Nothobranchius furzeri: one gene and its partners. The protein of the gene in region 2 interacts with the protein of the main gene of each other region in a pairwise test. Links are inferred from orthologs where the notes say so. Each region holds a gene or a part of one and is shown on either strand. Other genes may lie near its edges.

Region 1 (6,002 bases), on a different chromosome or scaffold from region 2:
AGAGGTTAATCCTGGCAAAAGGGGGACGGCTTGCAGTCAATCTGGAGCTGCTCAGCCTCTGCAGCCACACACACACACAGAGAGGAGAGAGAGAGAGAGGAGAGAGAGGGGACAGAGGGGAGAGAGAGAGGAGAGAGAGAGAGAGAGAGAGAGAGAGAGAGAGAGAGAGGACAGAGGGGAGAGAGAGAGAGAGGAGAGAGAGAGAGAGAAAGAGAGAGAGAGAGAGAAAGAGAGGGAGAGAGAGAGAGAGAGAGAGGGAGAGAGAGAGAGAGAAAGAGAGGAGAGAGAGAGAGAGAGAGAGAGAGAGAGAGAGAGAGAGAGAGAGAGAGAGAGAGAGAGAGAAAGAGAGATGACTCATTTGCAAAAGGGTGGAGAAGCGATAAAAGGGAGACTCAGAAGTCTTTGAATGTCTTCCTTTAAATGGAGAATGGATGTGATCGGACAGCTGAGCCAGAGAGAGGCAGAGCAGCGTGTTTTCATCGTGCACTAAATTATGCATCATTGTCATTCCATCAAGTGCACACACACACACACACACACACACACACACACAGAGAGATAAAGGAGGCAGCCACTGAGGTGCTCCCCAGCCAGTTGTCGCAGGAGTTGGGAAGATAAATCTCCGGCGAGGAGATTTGTCACCAGGAGTACTACACCGCTCCAACGTCTGATGCGTAACTGTGTCAGTCGAATAAGATTATCTGGAAATAAGAAGCTACAGGCTGTTCACTTCGGAGTCGCTTGCACCTTATCTCGGAAACAGAACCTGCCGTCTTTATGAAACGGGATCTGGGAATTATCGGGACAAACGATAATCAGGAGGTAAACAAAACAAAACAAAACAACTTCCACCGTTAACAAGGTAATCAGAGCAAATAAAGGCTAATGAAAACTAAACAGGAAATGTTAACACTAGTGTCTGTGGCTCATTAGGGTCACCATGGTAACCACACACCAGGGGATTAAAGAGAAAAGCAGTGATGGAATTTCACAGGGATGAAAATCAAAATCCTCTTGCATGTGTGTGTTTAAACTACCCCCCCCCCCCCATACCCTTTGCAGCCCAACAGAGCAAGTCACAGTTGACTTTGCCCCCTTCGTGCTGCCTGTCCAGCCTCCTCTGCTGCTGATAACAGCGTGGGCGGGAGCAACAAGTTGTGCTAACCTTGGCCCGCAGAGAGCGTTTACACGGCACGCTGGCAACCTCGCAGTGTCTGAGCGACTGACTGAGTGCTCATGTGATAATGATGAGCCAGGGAGTCGTCCTGCACGTGCGCAGTCATGTCCAGGCAGCTCACACACACCTCTCTTAGGCTTTGAGGTGTTGTGCGTCTTTTATTCTCCCACCTCAAGAGGTAATTGATAAGAGCTGTCGGGCCGGAATTTCCTGTTCCCGCACAGCTGGGGTTTAAAACCTCACCAGCTGTCATCCCAGAGTGCTCCACCTGCTGGAGCCAAAGCGCGTGTTTTCCCCTCTATGAGCCTGTTGTTTTCAGAGCTCGCCCGTGACTGTGCCACAGAAACATTCTGTTCTTTAGCCCCGTGCACACGCAGAGTCCAAAAAAAAAGTAGAGAGGTAGTGGGAAGGAGAAGAACGGATCGTACAGAGCAAATAAATAATGTCATGTCTCCAAGCCGCAGGAATTCCACTCTGGCAGCGCCGCTCCAGCTGTAACAGTGAGAGAAGAACACAGGCTCTATCTAATCCAGATGTGTTTTCTGCTGCTAACCACTGGAAAGTCTTACTCCCTTAAGGCATTTGAGCCTTCTCCTGCAGCCGCACCTGACTGGGTACAAGCCTGAATTCCACCTTAAAAAACACTTCTGTAACGAGCTGTTTTTGTTTTTAACCTGAGAATGTAACCTAAGGATTACTGTGTGTGTGTGTGTGTGCGTGTGTGTGTGTGTGTGTGTGTGTGTGTGTGTGTGTGTGTGTGTGTGTGTGTGTGTGTGTGTGTAGGAAGGGAGGAGGTCGCCGGTTCAGGGGTCGTGCTCCAGTCTGGGACACTTGCTGTATGGAATGCTGGGAGAGGACAAAGCCAGATGGGAGCTCTCTTGCTGCTGTGTTCAAGACTATCAGCAGGCTCCCTGTTCCTACCCCCACCTTCCTCCTCCTCCTCCTCTTTCTCACTACGCCAGGCACAAAAGTGTGGGGGCCATCCTGCTGACCGAAATCAAGCAGACAGCCTCGTCTGAACCCAGCTTTTATTTATTTTTCCTGTTGCTACCGCTGCCTCCTCTCCCAGCTGGGAGGAAAGATACCAAGTGTGCACCAGCTTCCTGAGGTTGTGAAACAAAAAACACAGCAGTGCACAGGAAGTGGCCATCCAGATTATCAGTCTGACAGCTGAAGGCACCACAAGGTTAACTGAAGACAAGATCACATGACGGACATGAGGCTGTTTAAGGGGGGAGATGTTTGTTTTGGTGGAAAATTCCCCTCAAGCATTACAGGGAGCTTTTGTTTCCTTATAATAAATGATAAATCTAAAAATGGGGGTAACAGAGTGCTATACATGAATATGTGGAATGCATGCCAGATTACATGGAAGTGCTGAGTGGCCTCACAGTAAACAAAGGATCAGTCAGCTCCATGGCGCCTGATTCAGGAAATTCCAAACATTATCCGGGTGAGGTCGCGCTAGAGACGTTTCAATGATCCAAACCTGGGAAAACAACGCATCCATGCACAAAAGCTAAATTATAGGCTACAAAAATATATATTTCAATTACTTTTGATTTAGGAGAAAAAACGGTGGTTTTATTAGAAGAATAATGATAATCCCAACATGTGTGATCAAACAATACATCTGGTGCGCGCACCTGGCCACCTGCGCAAAGGTGTGTATAAAGGCATAAATAATCAATACGAAATCAGTGATCGGATCCGATTCGGACGTGTTGATTCCTCACACTCCCCTTCTCCCACACAAACACACACGCCTCCATCTCAGCTGACCCGATCATTCCTCATGATTAATCCTAATGACAGCAGCCCTGTCAGCTGTGCGCTCAGATGTAGTTCCTTCAGGAGTTACAAGAGGCGCATCAGCACCGCGTAAGGTGAACAACTCCAGCACACGCGCGCGCGCGCACACACACACACACACACACGAGCTCATCAACAGTTCAGAGAAATCATTCCTAAAACACAGAATGTTGTTTGAACCAAATCTCCTCACTGCGCGCGTTAAGTTTCCTAAAATAAAATGAAATGCAACACAAAAGCCCCATCATATAATAATAATAACAATAATCACAATAATAATAATAATAATAATAATAATTATTATTATTATTATTATTATTATTATTATGACTAAAACGATGGTTGTTATGAAACTTCTGAATGAAGCAACAACTATTTAAGTCGCGTTTCTCCCCTTTTACTGGGTGAAATAACAATAAACCACCTTAAGCCACTTAAACAAGCGTGTCAGCGCAATAAACCTCCAACTTCTAGCGGAGGTCAGAACTCCGGCACAAAAAGCGTCTAAATGAACACATGGCGTGGTTTCTCACAAGTTAACGCGTTTAAATGACAGCAACACAATTAAACACTCTCAGACTACTCTGCTGTCCTCTTCGGCTCGGGTCAACATGTAAACTAGAGCTCATCAACAGCGACTACCCGGTTTTAATTAATACTCACCACCAGTTCAAGTATCCGATCAGCATTAGGAATCACAACAGGGTGGATGGTGGAGCCGTGGGATTAATCCAGAGGGGTAGATTTGTCAAAACATAAAAAAGAACGAGCGTTTATCCTGGTGTGTGTGAGCTCCAGCAGCTCTCGGTGCTATTGTCTGTGACTGTGTATGAGAGAGAGAGAGAGCTGGACGGAGCTCCGCAGCAGCTGAAGCGCTTCCCTTGTCTGTAGCAGACTAGCGAGAAGCGCAGCCTTTTTCGTCAGTGGAAAACTCCCTCCTGGCGTCTGGTGTGACGCAGGCGGTGACACAGGGAGGCTGCTTCACCCACGCTGCTTCCTGCCTTACTGTACCTACCTGCGCGAGCACACACACACACACACACACACACACACACACACACACACACACACACACACACACACACACACACACACACACACACACACATCAATAACCCAATCCACTACAGATAAATATTTTATGATTTATTTTATGTGATAAGAAGAAACAAACAAACAAATGAATAAATAAATATTATTTTATTAGAAACCTGATTGTTTGAAAAAAGATGTTGCTGGTGTGTCTTATTTCCAGTGACTAAACAGAACTGACTCACTTCTTCTCTCTCTCTCTCTCTCTCTCTCTCTCTCTCTCTCTCTCTCTCTCTCTCTCTCTCTCTCTCTCTCTCTCTCTCTCTCTCTCTCTCTCAAACGGAACTAAAGTGTCTGGTTTCAAAGGAAACGCCATCTTTTACCATAACTGTGTCAGACGGCTACTTTATGTGACTAACTGGGAGTTTTCTGAAAAACAAGAACCAGTTGGTTATAGTGACTCTGTAAAATTTAGAATGTAAATTACTGACTTTATTGAATAATAACAGTATTAACAGCAATTCACTAATTGTTTAAAGGTGTAGGACACTGAAACCCCATTTTTTGACGATTATTCCTGATTATAATCGGTCTTTGTAAGCTTTCTGTACAGGCTGAACATGAAAATAGTCTTCCACACCTATCTCCTGTCGCTTCTGATAGAAAATAGACGGTAAAACTCTAAAATTTGAAAATCCTGACAGATCTACGTCACACTGTTGCTCACGACGGCAAAGGCTGTTGTTGGTTTAGCATCCAGGAAACATCAGAGAACATCTAGACTAGCAGAAGCTAACTGTTAGCATTAGCAACTTCACCACACAGCAGAATTCCTCCAGACTTGTGTTATTTGTTCATATAAAATATCAGCATTGCAAAGCAGTGGTAGTGTTGCGTTGCTGTTATCCAGTTCAAGATGTCCAAATATCAGGAAATAAGACTTCAAACCTACAGCCTGAAGCTCAGCTCCTGTGGGTCACTACTAGTTCCTGAAAATGCAACACCAATGTTTATTTTTTCTCCCCCAGAGAATGACTTACAAGGCGTTCATCCCCCTTAGAGACCACTGCAGATGTATTGATTAAACAAGTGAACCAAACCTTTAATTTACTGAATCTCTAGTGAATTAGAACTGGATTGAACTGAACTCTGTATCATTCGTAGAAATAGACCGAATGAATTGGACTGAATGGAATTGGGATGTAAATGAGGAATTGACCCCATCCATCATACTGCCTGAGATGATTTCTGTTGTAAGAAAAAAGTAACTGAAGTGAAATGGAACTGAGTTAAACTGAATCATACTATTTGAATCAAAATGAATCAATTTTAATTGAACTGAATCTAATAGACTCAAAATGATCCAGATTGCTTTTAATTACTCTTTGAATCGAAACTATAAAATGAAGAGACAGTGAAATAATTTCAGTTGACTGACTTGAATCAAACTTGTAATCGAACCAATTCAAATCAAACCGAAACAGGATGAAACCAAATTAAATTCAATCAAATCAGGGTGACTTTAATTTATTTGAATCAATTCAAATAAAATTCAACTAAAATGAATCAAATATAACCCATTGAGACAGGGATTCAATTGAACAGCACAAAATAGAATTTGAATCAACTGAACCAAATCAGCTTGAATTCAAATTGATCGTATTTGAATCAAACTCAATTCAACTGAATCAAACTGCTTCAAATCAAATGAAGCAGAGACAAAAATAAGCGACTTTCTGAACAAAAGACAGAAGTGTGAAGTGAATGAATGAAAGAATCCCTTCTAAGTCCCTTCCTTCTAAGGAAATAAAACATGCTTTGAACATAAATCACATTTAAACATTAAATACGGTTCAGGCTGCATGTTTACAGGAAGAAAAACAAAAAAAAGCAGCTGCTGTGTCAGTGACACATAAAACAGGAGTTTTCGACCTCCTTTCTGCGCCTCCTTCCTCATTCTTCATTCTCACCACAACATCTG
Region 2 (4,865 bases):
CCAAGCTCTCAATGACTCACTTATAAGTGCAGCAGGAAGATGGTGGAAGCCACTAATGGCGTTTAAATAAACAGCTGCAAATGTAAAATCTCTGAAGAGCGAGACAGGAAATGATTCAGAGAATCTGATGAGTGGGGCTGCAGTTAAATAACTTCTGGTTTCACTTTACAACTAAAAGCAGTGCCTCAGCTCTTCAGAGGTAAATCAAAAACATGGCTGGGCTTTAAAGAGTAAATAACCCCCAAAACAACGTTTTTTTTTTTTGTTTATAAACTGTATAATTGGGTCTTTACAAATGTAATATTTCTGTTTCTGTGCATTTTTTGACATGTTTGTGTAAACTTGATTAAATCTAGATCTAGAAACATCTTAGGGCTGCCCCCTGTGGGTTGAACTGTGGCTACTGCATTTTAAATTTATGATTGACTGGGGCTGGTACAATTCCACGTCATCAGTACAGTCTCCTCCTACTCCTCCTCCCTCCCGCGATGGAAATTCCCCGCACTTGGCCATGCCACTCTGTGCCTCCTGGCAACGCCCACTTTCATGGCATGTTTCAAATCTTGACTAAGGGTGGAGTTACATTTTCTGATGGTGTGCAGTCCCTCTTTAAGGGAAGCTAAACTAAATACTTGACTTACACATTTATTTAATCCAGAAAACAAATAAAACTGTTTAAAAGCCGGTTTGGTATTTAGAATAAAGGTTGAAAGTTCTTCGTGAGGCTGGGACCATCTGTTCCTCTAGAGCAGTGGTTCCCAAACTTATTTAGCCGCGCACCCCCTTCTATGTCCCGACCATGTCGACGCACCCCCCCAGCCCCCACATCAGGGCATGGCTATATATATATATATATATATATATATATATATATATATATATATATATATATATATGTATGGTGACATATGACAGACTTCTCTGAGCTCTGCAGCCATTACACTTTTCACCTCGCGCACCCCCTAGCACCCCCGGGGGTGCGCGCACCACACTTTGGGAATCCCTACTCTAGAGGTTTAAGGGTCTTGTTTATGGAGGATGGAAGGATGGAGCTGCCCTGGGACACACTGGCATTACCAGTCCCTCTCACCACAACCAGTAGGTAAGGAGGATGAAGTGTCTTGTCACAACGACTGCGTCAGAATAACGGGGATGCAAATCTGCAACCCTCTGGTTTTGGGGATGAAAAATTAACTCCTCTGCCACCATCACCTGATTTAGAAGCAAACCCAGCCACTGTGGTACCACTGCTGACCACACCCCCTACAGGTCACAAATGTCATAGCGTCCTGGTCAATGCCTCCCTGCCTCACCCATGCAGGTAGAAACAGAGCACCCCTGGACACCTGTGTCACCCTACAGTCTGATCCTCCACACCGTTTGCAGTGGATCTTCTGCGTCGGCGTCCCCTCCACCCCTTGAGGAAGCTGTCTCTCACTCACACCTTGTGATGAAAACTCCTCTCTCAGCTGCCGGAGCTCTGGACTGGCCATGTCCTCCACAGACATCTTGGCAAAGTCCTGCGGCAGCAGAGAGCCACTCAGTAGGCCCTGGCACAGGTGAGGACTTTTGGGATTCCTCAGGTTTGCGACTTTGCTCCTCACACAGGTTTTGTATTTGAGTCTGCTGGTTTTGTGGAGGTCATGGATGTGCTTTTCAATGTCTTCAGCCAGCTGCTCCGCCTTGATCTGATCAGGAGGTTCAGGATGGAGGGCAGCTAAGAGAAGGTGAACGCATTTGGTCCTCACAGAGTCCGACAAAGCAGAAGTACCCTGGAGGGGACGGTCTGCCTGCTGTTCTGGAGCACGTACTCCACCATCTCCATCCACTTGGGCTGAAGAACCTGCAGGATCTTTTCTCTCATCTGAGTGTGTCCCTCCTGTCCTCTCACAGCTGTACTGTTTCCTCCACCTGGACAACAAGCTCTTAACCCCCTTCCTCACATTGGTGTCTGAGCAGGTCTTCAAGATTCCATAGAGGACTTTGACCAGTTCTGTTGTTTCCAGCTGCTCTGCTGTGATGTGAGACTTATCCAGGTCACCAAGGAGGGTCTGGATGTCCACGAAGCTTCGGTCTGCAGCCAGCTTCTCCATCTGGACAGCAAGGTGGACGATTTCCTTTGTGTCCATCATGGCTGCAGAGAATGTTATCTATTTTAGACCTTGGCAGGATGCATGTCTGTTATGTTTGATGTCCTAACGTAGATAGAGATGTCAGCAACACGCTTAAATACAGAATAAATGGGTTTAGACTGATTTACCTGAGCTTCTTCATGAGTTTCAGCTTCTTCCTGCTAACTGAGAACCTCAAACAAGGGAGCAGCCATATTGTTTTTGTCTTTCATCTATGAAACTAACTACATGCACCACTAGATGGAGCTGCTGACTCACTCACTCTGAAGGTTCAGCTGAAAGTCTTTCTGCATTTATGGGGAATAAAGTTTGTAATGTTTGATTTGTAAGTTCACCACAGTAGATGTGCTGCAGGATTATAGCTTTTGTAAAAGGATTCAGACGTGTGCATTTGGCTTCTAGGGGCGTTTATTCCCACAGCAAGCACAAACCCTTTCTTTAGACTACAATTCCTGAAGGTGTAAACACATATTTAATGATTAAAACACACTAATCCTTGGGATTGAGACCAACTTCATCATTTCTAGGTGAATGCAGCATGTTTGGACTCTGCATGCAGAAACAGGCCAAGCAGCCTCCAGACAAGAATCCAGGAGGGTATCTGGTAACAAGACGGGGCAGGCTCCTCAGCTCCGGAGCAATCATAGGTTATGAAGGCATGTTTGTGGTTTTAAAGTTAAGACCAGAGATTTTGTTGTACGTCAAACTGCAGAAGGGGCAGCTAGTTGTTATCCTCAGAGTGAGCCGCTTTAGAAAAGCTGCTGCATCGCCCAGAGAGACATGGGCTCACTGGATAAGAGAGCACAACTGATGTTGCTCCTACATTGGGATTGTGTAGCAAACTCTGCGTTTTTAACAGTGTCTCTATAAACAAAGTTGTGATTAATAATGTTTGTACTAACAGTAGATAGCTTTCTGAAAAGGCTCAGTTTGGTGAAATGTTTAACATTCCATAAAACTGGAATAACTTTGGGAATGTTACGATATTCCAATTGAACTTGACTCTTAGATTCGCCAGAAGTGCCACATTTTGCACGTGAAGTTTTCCAAGTGAGCATTAAACTGTATTCATGAAATGATGCTGCATGAACCACTTCCCTTGCACTAGCTGTTAGCAATTGTCAGTCCGGTAGAATGAAACTAATTTCTCTGATTTGAGGCCTTTCAGTAACCTGTCTTTAACTTCTTCTCAGAGACTGCCTTCAAACTGGCTGGAACACTAAACAACCGCCTCAATGAATGCTAGCTTCATGCTAACTGTTAATTAGCTGTAGCTAACTTGTCTTATGGGCCATTCCCATCTGTACCGGGTCGGCCCGGGCCGGGTAGCACCGGTCGGCCCCAGCCTGGCCCGGAAACAGTCCAATGGTCTCCTGTACCTCACAGCCATGACTGGTGTCTCTAGCTTCTCTAAATCATTTTGTTTCTCACACAAAGGTAAAACAAATAAAAGATGTGTAAAGTGAGGCAACTCAGCATGAAACTGGGGTTTATGGTAAGTTTAAATATGCAACAACAGAAATGCACAAACGTATAAACAAAGCTCTACAGCTCTGGGGGTAACATAACTGTCAGCGTGACATCACCATCTTAAACTTTATTTGGAATGTTTTTTTTTCAACATTCATGTATCTGGTGCCAGCAGAAGCATCAGCGGTATGAGGGAAAAGCGATAAAAGCTTCAGGCTCTTAAACAGCAGCCTTAAAGGAGGCTGGAGCTTCCAAGAAGCTTTTAACAGCTTTAATGTCTCAAGTTTCCAGAAAAAGGGGGAAGTGTGTCGGCCAGAGGAGTTATCTTTCATTTGGGACAGGAAATGTGCTATTTTAGACTTCTTGAGCTCTTTGTGGTTAGGGACAACTCCGAGTCTTCAGAGCAGTCCGGCCACACACGCCTGGAATTCCCAAAAACACGCAGAAGGACCTTATCAAGTCATTTCTCTGCCCGTCTGCACTTGAGGTTTCCTTCCTCATCAGTGAGAGTGGAATTTTACCAGCATGCAGGAGCACCACTCCCCAGTAGGGGGCGCTCTTGATTCTGTGCTGCTTCGGCTGCTTCTGACAAAGACTATGAGGAAGTGGGGTCTGTAGTCCCCGCCTTGCTCCAGCAGACCACGCCACAAACATGATGGCATGTTCGCCTGAACACACACACACACACACACACACACGCACACGCACGCGCGCGCGCCCTGGGGGATGCCTCTTGTTAAAGAGATCTACTTCAGTCATGACAGGTTGGCATGTCCCAACCAGGGCACATGTATCATAGTATGAGGTTCCGAAAGTGCCGTGCACAAGAAGAGCATGAAGAGGTGATTGAGAAAAAAACAATGACATTCCAACCAGCTTCTCAGTTCTGTTTCTCGGAGCTGTTTTTGGGTCATTTTGGTTCTGCTGAGGATGAGACGCAAAGTCCTCAACAGTCATGAGACCTGAAAGTGCTTTTATACAGGATGTTGTCCCTCCTGAGTCCAGTTGAAGACCACTTTGGACATGTCTCCTCCTATACTGTAGATGTCTAGAAACGATCTCAGATCAAAGACAGTGACATTGTGACCATGACAACAGAGTGTTTCTCTACTGCTGTCTGACTTAAGCCAGGTTTCAGATGCTAACATAAAAAAAAGTTTGTGGCTTTTTATGCAGCAGATGATCAGCTGTGTGTGTGTGTGTGTGTGTGTGTGTGTGTGTGTGTGTGTGTGTGTGTGTGTGTGTGTGTGTGTGTGTGTGTGT
Region 3 (5,861 bases), on a different chromosome or scaffold from region 2:
TCCTGCCCTGAAGATTTGATGGTTTAGAAAACTTAGTTTCAAACTAGTGGGGAAAAATAATCTGCATACATGTAAAATGTTGTAAATCATAAAGAGTTCAACACAACAGGAAGTGGATGGAGTACTTGAGTGGAATGGTTCTTTAATCAGGTGAAAACAACAGTAAAATTACAATATTTTGTTAAAAATGGCAAGTTAGGAGTTCATATTTCATTTACATTTTTGTTACAGGATTTAAAACTGCAGCACAAAAAATGTAGCACCCAAAGTTAAAAAACATTGTTTAACTTCCTCCTTTACAATAATCAGAGGTGGTTGTACTTTAAGAATATTTTTGGTTCCTTACTGAAAAGTGTTCACTCTGTCATTTACAGGGTGAAAACATCACTGCACAGTCTAAAATAACTAATTGATCCAAATAACAAGACATTTTCTTATTAATTTGGGGCTAAACGTGTAGATTTGGTGACATCATCACACTGAAACTAAAATTTAAACTATCAAAATAAAAGTCAAACACTGGGTTAAATTCTAGGCGTCACAAACACAAACGTCTTGAGGTAATTATACTCAGCACGAGTCTAACAGCTTTATTCACCTGGTCTGAGATCACAAAGCTTATCAGGGTTTGGTATTCTAAATGTATTTTAAAAAAAGGATCATATTTTATTTCATGACAAGTACTTCAAAACAGAAAAGACCTTTACAAAACTCAAAAAAAGTTACTAGAATTTGTCAAAGATGGTTCATTCATGGATATTCGCTCCGACGTTGATTTTGTTGTAAAATAAAACACAAAGATTTGAGGAAAAAAACGACAAAGTCAAATTTCTCCATTAATTTGAACTCAAATCAGACAAGCTGATTATTTTAAAACATACTTAAAATTATTAATTTCAACTAACATCATTTGTGACATATGACTCAAAAGTGCATCATTTATGACGTCATGTATATATTTTAAACTTCATATGTAAGAAAACAGCTAATTATATGAAGGATAAATGGGCTAAAAACAATTTTTTTTCCTAAAACAATCTGTCACAAGTACACAAAATATCAAGGGAGTGGGTTTGAGTTTTAGGCTGTGAGATTTTCACCAGCTGGACAACAAATGAACTAGAGATAAACTTGTGTTTAGCTTCAAGGCAGGATAAAAATGTCTCTTAACCAATCTGAGGTCAAAAAGCCTCTACTGTACAACAAGGAGGTGTACATTGGCATCGCGTGGTGGCGAGTTCGGGTCTGCGGACAAAAAACGCGCCCAGGTGTCTCATTTTCCTCCTGCCATGATTTTAAGGTACTGCAGTGCATTGTGAGCCGCGTGGGCTCGAGCAGCTTCTACGTTCGGAGCAAAGCCATGACACACAGTGATGGGTTGTGTGGACAGCTCCACCAGACACTGACAGCGGCCGCTGAGGCTGCGCTCCTCTGAAAAACAAACAAGCATGGATGTGAAGAAAAAAAACGAGGAGTTTCTAACCGCTTTACGGTGCTCCTGTTGTGCTGTTGAGCGTGAGCTCACCGAGGTCGAGGTAACTGACATCAAAGCGCTGCTCCACGGACAGGTCGCTCAGCAACGAGCAGAAGTTGGAGCCAGCTGGCATTCCCAGAGGGTGGCTGCGGAGCTGCAGGATCTTCTCTCCAGCAGAGTTACGCAGAGAATCCCAGGTGCAGCTGAAACTTTTGCTTTTACCCGACTCCGCTCTGCTGCCCATGTGCTGCGTAAATGGGATGATTTTATACACGTTTTACACAGACACAGTAGAGCCAAGCAGAGAAGCTTCATCACCATAACATGGGCACAGTTTGTGATATTTTGAGAATTGCACAAGAAATTTAAGCGCAAGCATATAAATCACTGCTGTGGTGTTTAGCTCTCACCAAATTGAAGGTATCTTCTTCTGCATCTGCCTCGTTGCTGCTCCTCAGGTCCACTGGAACGTCGTGGATCCGTGAGAGCATCTTAGCGGCTGCATTCCTCTTGGCTAACTTCTTAGATGTGCCACTTCCTGGACAGGAAAAAGGAAATCACTCCTTCACTTGGCATAAAAGCAGATTTTGACAAATCCAATTGAGCGTGAAAGCACAACATGCAGATATCAAACAAGAATGAGAGAAGATTTACCAATTTCTACAAATCTCTCCACTCTGCAGGTCATGGTAAACTCTTTTCGATGTGCTGGACCCGACTCCTGAGTGACCGTGTACTCTGGCAAACGCCATCCTTTCTGCACCACCAACTCCTGAAGTAAATCAAAACAGAAAAAAAAAGGAAGGAAACTATAGAAATATTCTAACAGAAACCAGTGTTGTGGATTACCAGGATAAAATAAAGTCTCTATGGCGTAGTTACCTGCAGCGCCCCAACGGGGTTACATTCCGACTGTTGAGAACTGCTGGAAGTCTTCATCTCTGACTGAGAGCTGCATAAAACATGAGAGGACAGACTAAATCCACACAAATCTCTCTCTTCCATCAACTCAATGTTGAAACATCGTCTGGATCCAATCAAGACAAGCCATTAAGCATCACTTAAGCATCGCTAGGTTCTTTTCTACATTTTAAAATGAAGTAGGGTCCTGACCAGTCTCCGTCAATAGACACATCAACCTCGATAAACACGTCTTCTCCGACAGCGACTCCAGCTGGATCTCCGAGGCTTCCTTTGAGCATCTTCAGAGCAGCCTCAGCTGCTTTGTGCTTAGCTGCCTTCTTGCTGGGCCCTTGGCCGGTGCAGCTGATCTCTCCGACGGAGACGCGGAATGTGAAGTTGGGCTGGTGGGCCTGTCCCTCCGCCTTCAGCAGGTCGTACACTGGGGTTTTGCCTATCCGCGTTCCATACTCCTGCAGCAGACTGATGGGCGTCTTTCCAGGATTCACAGCCAGCATTTGCTCAATACTATTTAAAAGATAGAAAGCATAAGCAGCTGTTCACTTATTTTGTTATCATCTTTACTGAGATCAAAACACAACAATGTGGCTAGTTTATTGCTGCTAAAATCTAAAGGGCATACGCTACAATGTTCAGTGGAAAAACTACACTTGTCTATATTTTAGTTTCACGAAATGCAACAAGAAATAGGAAAAGTGTGCCATCTTTAAGGCTCAATCTGTGAAATATGTTTCCAAGAAAAAAAATACTATTATTTGCCAAATGAATACTGACCCAAATAATAAGTGTGGTGTTTTGAGGTGAGATTCTTCACAGTGTACAAAGGAAATGGGCACAAACCAATAAAACTCTATTATTTACATTATCAGAGTAAAAGAAGGCACTTTTATTCAATGATTTATTTGTGAGGCGGCAGCTACAGCCATCTGGAATGAAGATTTGAACCAGAAATGTTTGCAATCAGCTTATTTTATTACATATATTACAAATGGAATAAAGAGATTTGTGTAATTTATGCCGATCTTTACATTTAGGAAAACATTATATTAGTGTTTTTGACCACCTGTTGCCTTCCAGATTACAATAATCCCTCAAAAATCAACCTAGCAGTAAAAAGCCACCAGATAAAGAGTATTAACGATGAGTCAAACAGTTAAGCTGTAGAGATTAAAAGAATAACAGAAGATTAAACACTTAAAACAACATGCACGCGTTAGTTTCTGAGGCCTTTGACTCTGACATTTTATATTGTTTACATACAAATGGCTTTTATCAAGAAGACAATCCCACCTGGAGTCCCCGGAGTTTCTCTTCCAGCTATCCGAAGCTGTCTCGTCGTTCATTCCCCGTTTCGCGCAGACAGAACCGCTCGGTTTCGGATGTAAAATCCCCCCCGCCACAACAGACACGTACTCTCATTAGACGGTATTTATTGTTGTCCCAAAACGATGAGCTAAAGCTGCAACATGATGGATACCAGAAGACGAAACCACCTCTACAGCGACAACCTCGGTCACACGATTATGACGTAGATTGCGTCCTGGGCAGCGTAAGCCCCGATTGGCCCAAATGCCTTCTGTGCCTCAGAAGGTGGGAATGACACTCATCAAGCATTCATCCCTAAATATACTGATGGGTCGAAAGTGTCAGGAAATATAACGGGATTTTCTTTCTGGATTCCGACATTAAGTATATATTATAAAAGTCGAACATCTAATAATCTGTCAGTTTATACAGTGGAAATGTTAGCCATTTCATTTAGTTTACAGTGGATAGAACAAAATGGTGTTAGGAAAAGTATTATTTGCTCAGACTCCATGTCAGCATTGTTATCAATTAAAGAAATGTCAGCTGATAAGAGGTCAGATATTTTGTATGAAATATTTGAGTGCATGTTTAGGTTAGGTTATACAAAAGGTATAATGATTTCTTATTAATAAAACCTTGTTGCAGCACTAAAGCAGAAAAATGAGATTTTGCAAGAAATATGCTAAATATTTACATATGAATTGTTTTAGAGCCGTTTTATTGGCAGAATCTGATATTAATTTAGTTCTTACAAAAAAATGGGTCCCAACGTGGTTTGTGTGGCGTTGCCATAGTGTGACGTCATAGGCACAGATCCCCTGTCCTCTTGTTTGGAAATGGAAATATGATCACCCTACATTAAACAAACTGTCCACCCGGGCTTTTGCGCTGCACAGAGATGCTTCGCTGCCTATGACTTTGAACGCCAGTTGAGAGTCAGTCTCATTCAGACTGACCAATGAAGAGAGGGCCTCAAGTTTAGACCCTCTCCTCATTGGTCATTCCACACGAGGTGGGTCAAAGGTTACCCTGAGCGGGTTACATGATGTCAGGCATTCAAGTATTGAGTATATTTACTGCATATTACAGTAAAATATTCTGTATGTGACCATATTATGGTGATCCTTGGGTCGTGATGATGGGGACCTTTAATATTGTTGCCCAGGGTACAACTAAGTGTTAATCTGACCCTGGGAGCGGAGGTAGTGACTAACACAGCACGTCAGCTCTGTCTTATCAAATGCACCAAGTAAGTTACGAAAAAAGTAACTTTAAATATTCAACCGAAAAAGAGGCGAGCTGAAGAAAACCTAGGGATTACTGAAGAAACGTGAGCAACATTGAAGCAATCACAGCGAGATCCGTTACTGTCTGTGTGTGTGCGCGGATGAGCCGGACGGACTGCGCTCCCGGCCGGCTGCAGTTTTCTGTGTAGGGAGGGGCGGGCGCTCTATGTGACTGGCCAATCACAGAGCGTGAAGACAGTCAGTTACCCAATGAGGATTTTCCTTCAGCACGATTACGGATATTTACGTGTTTTACTCGTTTCATGCTCGTATTCGTCAAAAATGCTCATCCCTAATTGCTATAATACATTATAGTAATGTATGTGGTCTAAATGTATTCTACAATAAATAAACTGCTGTGTCTCATTGGTGTGGTTTAGTAACACAATTGGGAAATGATTTAGGTTATTTTGACTAATTTACCTAGGAGCTATTGAAAAAAACCTTAATTTTTTTTATAAAAATCCTAATAAAATGATCAGATCGCATGAAAGGTGTTAACAACTGCTGTGTCTCATTGATCTAGCTTAGTAACAACACTGAGAAATTGTTTTGGGTATTTTGACAAATTTACCTAGCTACTGGAAAAATCCCTTAATTATGGATAAAAATCCTAATAAAAAAGATGAGATTGTATGAAAGTGTTTATAAATGGCTGTGTCTCATTGGTGTGGCTTAGTAACACAATTACGAAATGGGTTTGGGTGTGTTGACTATTTAGCTAGGATCTATTGAAAAAAGAAATCCCTTAATTTTGGATAAAAATCCTAATAAAAAAATCAAATTGTATGAAAGTTGTTAAAAATTGCCGTGTCTCATTGGTGTGGCTTAGTAACACAATTGAGAAATGATTTTGGTTATTTTGACTCATT
Region 4 (5,993 bases), on a different chromosome or scaffold from region 2:
CATCGTCAGTTACGATGATTTCTGTTATTTTGTAGAGATGCACCGATTCTGCTGATACCAATTTCTGACAGATTTAGTCTTATTAACAGTTTTTAACAAATTATAAAGTTTTACAATCTTGAATTTACTGTAATTTTATGACTCTTGAAGTAAAAACATCCATATATGTTATTGCTGGTTTTTATTGCTTTTATTTGCAGGTGAAATTAGCCCACGAGCTAGCTAGTGCAGCACTTCTGGCGGGATCATCCTTAATCTGGCAGAATTTCTGTAGCACAACAGCAACTGTCTAAACTGCTGTGAACATTTTTAGAATAAACTGTTTATTTAAGAGACTTGGCCGTGTCGGTGCTCGTCCATGCCATCAGAACGAATCTGTTTCTCCCAGCTGAGGCCATTCAGAGTGTTATGTACAGCAGGTGAGACGTTAACCGTTCAGCCCACATAGCTATGGGTGTTCTCTGTAAATCTAGGGGAAATGTTTGATCACTTAATCACTTTTTAATGTTTCTGTTAAATTTCAGTAAAAAAAGTTACAAGAAATTACACATAAGTCATTTATTTATATAGAACTTTTCTTTTTGTTTTAGAAGAGAGAAAAACATTTTTATTCGACACTTTTCCAGAAATAGGAAATCTTTTCTTTTCATTAGTTTTGCATCACTTGCTTTTATTTACGGATCAAGCAGTTTTTAATCATCCCTCGTTTCTTCATATTTTCCTTCCAGCAGCCAAACGTAATGAATTAAGGTGGTTTTGATTAATAATGCTGAGTCTTTATCTGCTTTTATGATCGTTCTGCCTTTAAAAGTCAAGCAGACACATTTCTGACATGAAGACCCAGCAGGAAGTATCTCTGAGCTCCAGTTCGACTCAAACATCTGGACTTCAGTGCCTCGGTCATAAAAAGGCGGAGCGTTTGCTGCCAGCGCGATGAAACGTTCGGCCTTATCGATGATCAGAATGAAAATCAATCGTTACTTGAAGTGTCTGATTTATCAGCAGCGATGTGAAGGTTTTAGTAGCTGTGGTGTTATCTGGACCTGCTGTGGTGACTCGCTCGTGGTCATGTAAACCCCCCCCCCCCCAATCACAAAAATCCACTGATTGTTTTTTCTGACACCAGCAAGAACTTCAGCAGAACCAGAACCTGGACCTTCTGTGTTTATGTTGGACTCTGTGGTAGAAACTCCACCTCATCCATCGTTCCCCCCCCCCCCCCCCTCCCCCATGTCTGTAGATCTCCATCAGCTGATGTGCTTACCTGTAAACTGTCAGTAACTGGGGCAAATTAAAAAGATGATGTCATACTTGTACAAAGAAAAGCTGAATAAACCGACAACCTGAACAAACGAGTCAGCGACTTATTTATTATTCTGTCACCAAACGAGAGTTAAATACATTTATTATGTTGGAGAAAGAAAAAAACATTAGAAGCGGTACAAAAGAGTCCTTAAATGTGCAAAAACGTCTTTCTGTGGTTGCCGACGTCGCCTCGCCGTTAATGATCCCTCCTCTGAGGCTCCGTGACCTTGCTGAGGTTTCCTGCTTCCTGCTTCAGAACGCTCAGAAGTGATTGGGAACTTTCTAAAATCTGTAAAAAGGATAAAAAATCAACAGTAAAACACGTTCACGCTGAGATGAGGAGGAGAGAAGGGCTGCGGGTGTCCTTGTTGTTTTATAATTAGAGCAGAGCAGGAGTGTGTTTTCACTCGTTTAAGGCGGAGTTCAGCAACAACACAGAAACACGACGAACCTTCAGCGGTGGCCTAATCTGGTCTGATCCGCCTGATTTATCTGACAGACGCTAAAACACGGTTACGGGATTAAACACCAGACCCAAGGATCTAGACGATGTTCAGGCTGGTGTTTCTACTAAATCTGCATCTTTCGGACTCTCGCGTTTACTTCACTTACCTTTTTGAGTCATTTTCCTGATTTTCTTGTGATTTTATCCACATAAAAACTCTTTCTTCTTAGACCTGCTCTAAACTTCCAGAGCGGTTCATGTGGCATTATTTTATAAAACCTTAAACAAGAGCGAGGGGACAAACTCCTTTTTCCGAGGGCCGGTATCCAGCATGTTTTAATCAGCTCCCTGCTTCAACACACCAGACTTTATTCAGTAGGTGATTAAGAGGCTTCTGCAGAGCCTGATGAGTTGCTGAGCAGGTGACTCGAGTGTGTCGGAGCAGGGAAACAACAAAAACAGGCTGGGTACCAGCCATCTGGGAAGGGAGTTGCCCACTCCTGCACGAGAGGATAAATTTCCTGGAATATTATCAGAGGAATTTGGCACTTAAAGGGTAAAACAGAACACCACGGGAACTGACGTGACTGCTTTAAGACAGCTTGCACCCTGTGAATTTGTCTCAGACTAGCCGTTAGCTCGTCTATCCCTCCGAACAGCAGCCTGGCAGAAGGCCATCTACAGTAAGACAACGAAACAAATGTCTGAAATGTTCCTCTAAGTCACGTGGAATCATCGCTCGATGGGGCTAGCCTTGTTTTAACCCCACGTTGCCATGACAACACGTTTTATCCTGGTAATCGTGACGAAACAGTTGAATTTATCTCCCTTCTACACTATTAAGCTCGTTGACTTGTTGGGATTTGGAATTATTCTGGTAAATCAAAGCTACGCTCCTCTCATTTTTAACAAAAACTTTTACAAAACCTCATCAGGTTCAGGTTAATAATGTCCAGCCGTGGTCCTCCAGGGCCACCGTACAGCCGATTTGATTTGTTTCTCTGCTTCAACACATCAGGTTTTAATCAGGAGGCTTCTGTAGGGCCTCATGAGCTGCCGAACAGGTGAGTAAACCATGGAATCAGGTGTGGTGGAGCACGAAAACAACTGAAACATCTTGGATCAGAGTCCTATGGGAGCAGAGCCGGAGAGCCCTGATGTAGACGGAACCAGGACACACCTTGGCGTAGGCAGCTTCTGTCTCAGCGATGGTGCGGTCCAGTGTCGTACGCGCTGAGAGTCTTCGTGCCAGGCTCTCGTTGACCCGGCTCAGTTTCTCAGACAGAACACGGATGTCGTGCTCCAGACGTTCCTTCTCATCTTCCTCTTGACGGATCTGTCGGTTTAGTTCCTCTTGCTTTGAGCACAGCTCCTCGATACCTGACAGGAAAATGAAAGCTTTATTACACCTGAAGTGGCTCTGATCCAAAAACACGAGCTTAGCTTTACTTTATTCAACTAAAACATCAATCTAACATTTCTGATGGCTCCCCAGAACAAGAAAACTGTGTAAACCAGTCAGAAAGTTTAAAAAACTGCCGCAGGAAGGCCGCACGGATTAACCACCGGGTAGGAACGTTTAAAGCACATTAGTTCCGCTATGCTGCTATTTTTAGTTGTTTTAGGGTTAAATGAGGATATTAAAGAAACGCAGCTATAAGCAGTATTTTTTAATCATATGGCTTTAATAAAGCTCAGCTTTCATGTGGGTTAATCTGATGGTGGTCCAGATTAAAGCAGACATGTAAAAAACAACAAACCAGATTAAAACACTAAATTACACACATAGTGTTAAATTTAGATACTTTTTACATACATTTAAATGTGGCGTTTGGTTAAAATGTAATTAAATTCTAGAGCTGAAGCAACTTTATCTATTTTCCGAACATTTTATGAGTTTAAATCAAGAAATAAAGTATTTAATCCTTCAAACGAGTCACTTACACTTGACAAGTTCGTTGTTGTAGGCCTGGAGAGCGGCGCCTTGCTGAGTCATCCTGGTAAAAGTGGTCGACTGAAGCGAACTCAATAAATCTTGAGAGAAAAAGGTTAAAAGAGGGAAATGTGTCTCCGTTCAGCGAAACGTTTTAATTCATCAGGCAACGGCGGGCTTCCCACCCCCTGAGAGCTCTTCTTCGTTGGAGCTAAACAGCGGGGTTGACTCACTTCCGCCATCTGGTGGATGAAACGTGAAGTGCGAGCTCCACAAAACAAAAACAAAGCCCACTGTATTTCCTTTGGTGATAAAAAACGTGAATAGTTCAATAAATTAATGAGTAAATGCAGATAATTAATTTTTCTAGGTCTCTGATGTCCAGACTTTGGTCGCTGAGGACAAACAGACACACAGAAAATCCTGCTGGCCACAAAACTTACATTTCTTTATTGTATTGTGAAAGTTCCATTGAAATGAATTAAGCCTTGTTTGTATAAAATGATTTCTAAATACCTGTAGGTACAACACACACACACACACACACACACACACACACACACACACACACACACACACACACACACACACACACACACACACACACACACACCAACAACAATAACTAATGTTTTGGATCTGATGCGTCATTTCTTTTCTAGTTTCCTGGTCTGGAAAAATCAGCTGCTGGATTTAGTCAAGTTTTATGAACGCTGAAAAAGATAATAGTACCACGGATGAGGATACGGCAGAAAAATACAAACATAAATGGTAAAGCAGAAGTATAAATGTAAATAAAGATAGATCATCATGATTAAAAATTGAATCCAGGATTCCCCAGGAGCAGGTGACACCATGCCATACTTTTGGATCCAGACTGTGTACACTGGTGATGTGGGGCTGAAATTCTGGCCATCTCTCCTGAACACAGTCGTTGTGTTTTTAAGCATCAGTTAACTAGTTACAGATAAATGAATAAGAAAAACAAATGTTTGATGCAGCAGGAAGGAGGCATAGAAATCTAGACAGACAGTAGCAGAAGCAAAATTATTTTGCTCTGCAGGTTGGTCTAGCCACACTGTACTGGAGCCTTAGCAGGCCTGACCAATCACAGCGCTCTATCAGTTTGGTGGGTGGGATGTTATTGCGATAGAGCAGAAAAGCTAAGACAGAGGCAGATCATTTGAAATGGTTTTGGCCTCAACTTTGGACTATTTAGATGGCTTCTTCTTTGAGTCAAGAACAGACAGAGGTACTTAAGTCCTTCATTTAGAAAAAAGACATATGTGTGTCTTCTTCGACAGAGTATGGTGGACTACCTTGTTGACTGACATCCGTAGCAGTGAGAGTCACTTTGTTTGTTGTCCAGTAGAATGCAGAGGCAGTTTGAAAGGCAACAATAGCTTTCACCCCACGACTGAGCTCTGTCTATGGGTCATGGTCAACCGACATATCCACATATATAGGATGGCTAGCCAGGGTAACAGGAAGGTACAAACTATGGTAGCCTGCCTGCCGCTTAACTTCAGGGTTCATTTCAAGATCCTGGTTCTGGTCTATAGGGCCTTACATGGACAAGCACCATCTTACATTGGTGATCTTCTTAGTCCCTACACCCCAAGCAGGTCCCTGAGGTCCAGTGACCAAACCCTACAGGTTGTGCAGCACCAGGCTAAAGGTCAAAGGTGACAGATCATCTGCTGCTGTGGCCCCCAGACTCTGGAACTGAGACCAGTAGACTCAGTGGTCTCCTTTAAAAAGCAGCTGAATACTCACCTGTTCATAGCCTAGTGAACTAGACCAAATTCTTGCATTGCAAAGAATGGTCTAGGCATGCTCCATTGGAACCTCAGCAGCTCCTACCAGGACTCTGGCTAGCCAATCACAGCTCTCTAGAGGAGTTTCAAACATATTAAGAGCTGTGATTGGTCCATAATGGTGGGCCAATCATAGTGCTCTATCTGCTTAGTGAACAAATCACAGAGCTTTATCCGATTTGTGGGCCAATCAGGGCACTCTATATGCCTGGTGGGTGGGACGATGCAACAGAGTGAAACAAGAGTATGTCACATTCATTGTCCAGTAGCATGCGGAGATCATTTGAAAGACAACGGTAGAACCCGCCCCACAACCGAGAGCCGTCAATGGAGCGTGGCCAGACTAAATAATACATTTATTTAGTCTGGCTTGCCAGGCTAACCTGTTCATGCTTTGGTGTGACCTTCACCACTCTCTCCTTATTCTGATCCTACCTATTCTGCCTTTCCTAGCGTTCCACTCATGATCTATTTCTTATTCACTTTCCCTTTC

What was found. The genes of interacting proteins can lie anywhere in the genome.
Region 1: the proteins of transcription elongation factor A N-terminal and central domain-containing protein (region 2) and csrnp1b interact in binary tests that used the Homo sapiens proteins (3 or more experiments, as listed by UniProt). The two-hybrid records come from large-scale screens. The link is inferred for Nothobranchius furzeri from reciprocal best matches to the Homo sapiens genes TCEANC and CSRNP1.
Region 3: the proteins of transcription elongation factor A N-terminal and central domain-containing protein (region 2) and tarbp2 interact in binary tests that used the Homo sapiens proteins (3 or more experiments, as listed by UniProt). The two-hybrid records come from large-scale screens. The link is inferred for Nothobranchius furzeri from reciprocal best matches to the Homo sapiens genes TCEANC and TARBP2.
Region 4: the proteins of transcription elongation factor A N-terminal and central domain-containing protein (region 2) and ssna1 interact in binary tests that used the Homo sapiens proteins (3 or more experiments, as listed by UniProt). The two-hybrid records come from large-scale screens. The link is inferred for Nothobranchius furzeri from reciprocal best matches to the Homo sapiens genes TCEANC and SSNA1.

What each region holds. Positions count from the first base shown.
Region 1 is NC_091747.1:49,828,299-49,834,300, forward strand, and holds the start of csrnp1b (cysteine/serine-rich nuclear protein 1b), read right to left. Parts: upstream 3,882-6,002; 5' UTR 3,653-3,881; intron 1-3,652. UniProt on the Homo sapiens protein: Binds to the consensus sequence 5'-AGAGTG-3' and has transcriptional activator activity. May have a tumor-suppressor function. May play a role in apoptosis.
Region 2 is NC_091754.1:47,119,592-47,124,456, forward strand, and holds transcription elongation factor A N-terminal and central domain-containing protein, read right to left. Parts: upstream 2,349-4,865; 5' UTR 2,261-2,348; intron 2,196-2,260; 5' UTR 2,133-2,195; coding exon 1,218-2,132; 3' UTR 1,040-1,217; downstream 1-1,039.
Region 3 is NC_091743.1:62,019,245-62,025,105, reverse strand, and holds tarbp2 (RISC-loading complex subunit tarbp2), read right to left. Parts: upstream 3,882-5,861; 5' UTR 3,739-3,881; coding exon 3,686-3,738; intron 2,903-3,685; coding exon 2,588-2,902; intron 2,427-2,587; coding exon 2,357-2,426; intron 2,247-2,356; coding exon 2,129-2,246; intron 2,013-2,128; coding exon 1,885-2,012; intron 1,722-1,884; coding exon 1,526-1,721; intron 1,432-1,525; coding exon 1,274-1,431; 3' UTR 1,056-1,273; downstream 1-1,055. UniProt on the Homo sapiens protein: Required for formation of the RNA induced silencing complex (RISC). Component of the RISC loading complex (RLC), also known as the micro-RNA (miRNA) loading complex (miRLC), which is composed of DICER1, AGO2 and TARBP2.
Region 4 is NC_091746.1:74,033,378-74,039,370, forward strand, and holds ssna1 (microtubule nucleation factor SSNA1), read right to left. Parts: upstream 3,882-5,993; 5' UTR 3,747-3,881; coding exon 3,695-3,746; intron 3,131-3,694; coding exon 2,931-3,130; intron 1,595-2,930; coding exon 1,502-1,594; 3' UTR 1,357-1,501; downstream 1-1,356. UniProt on the Homo sapiens protein: Microtubule-binding protein which stabilizes dynamic microtubules by slowing growth and shrinkage at both plus and minus ends and serves as a sensor of microtubule damage, protecting microtubules from the microtubule-severing enzyme SPAST.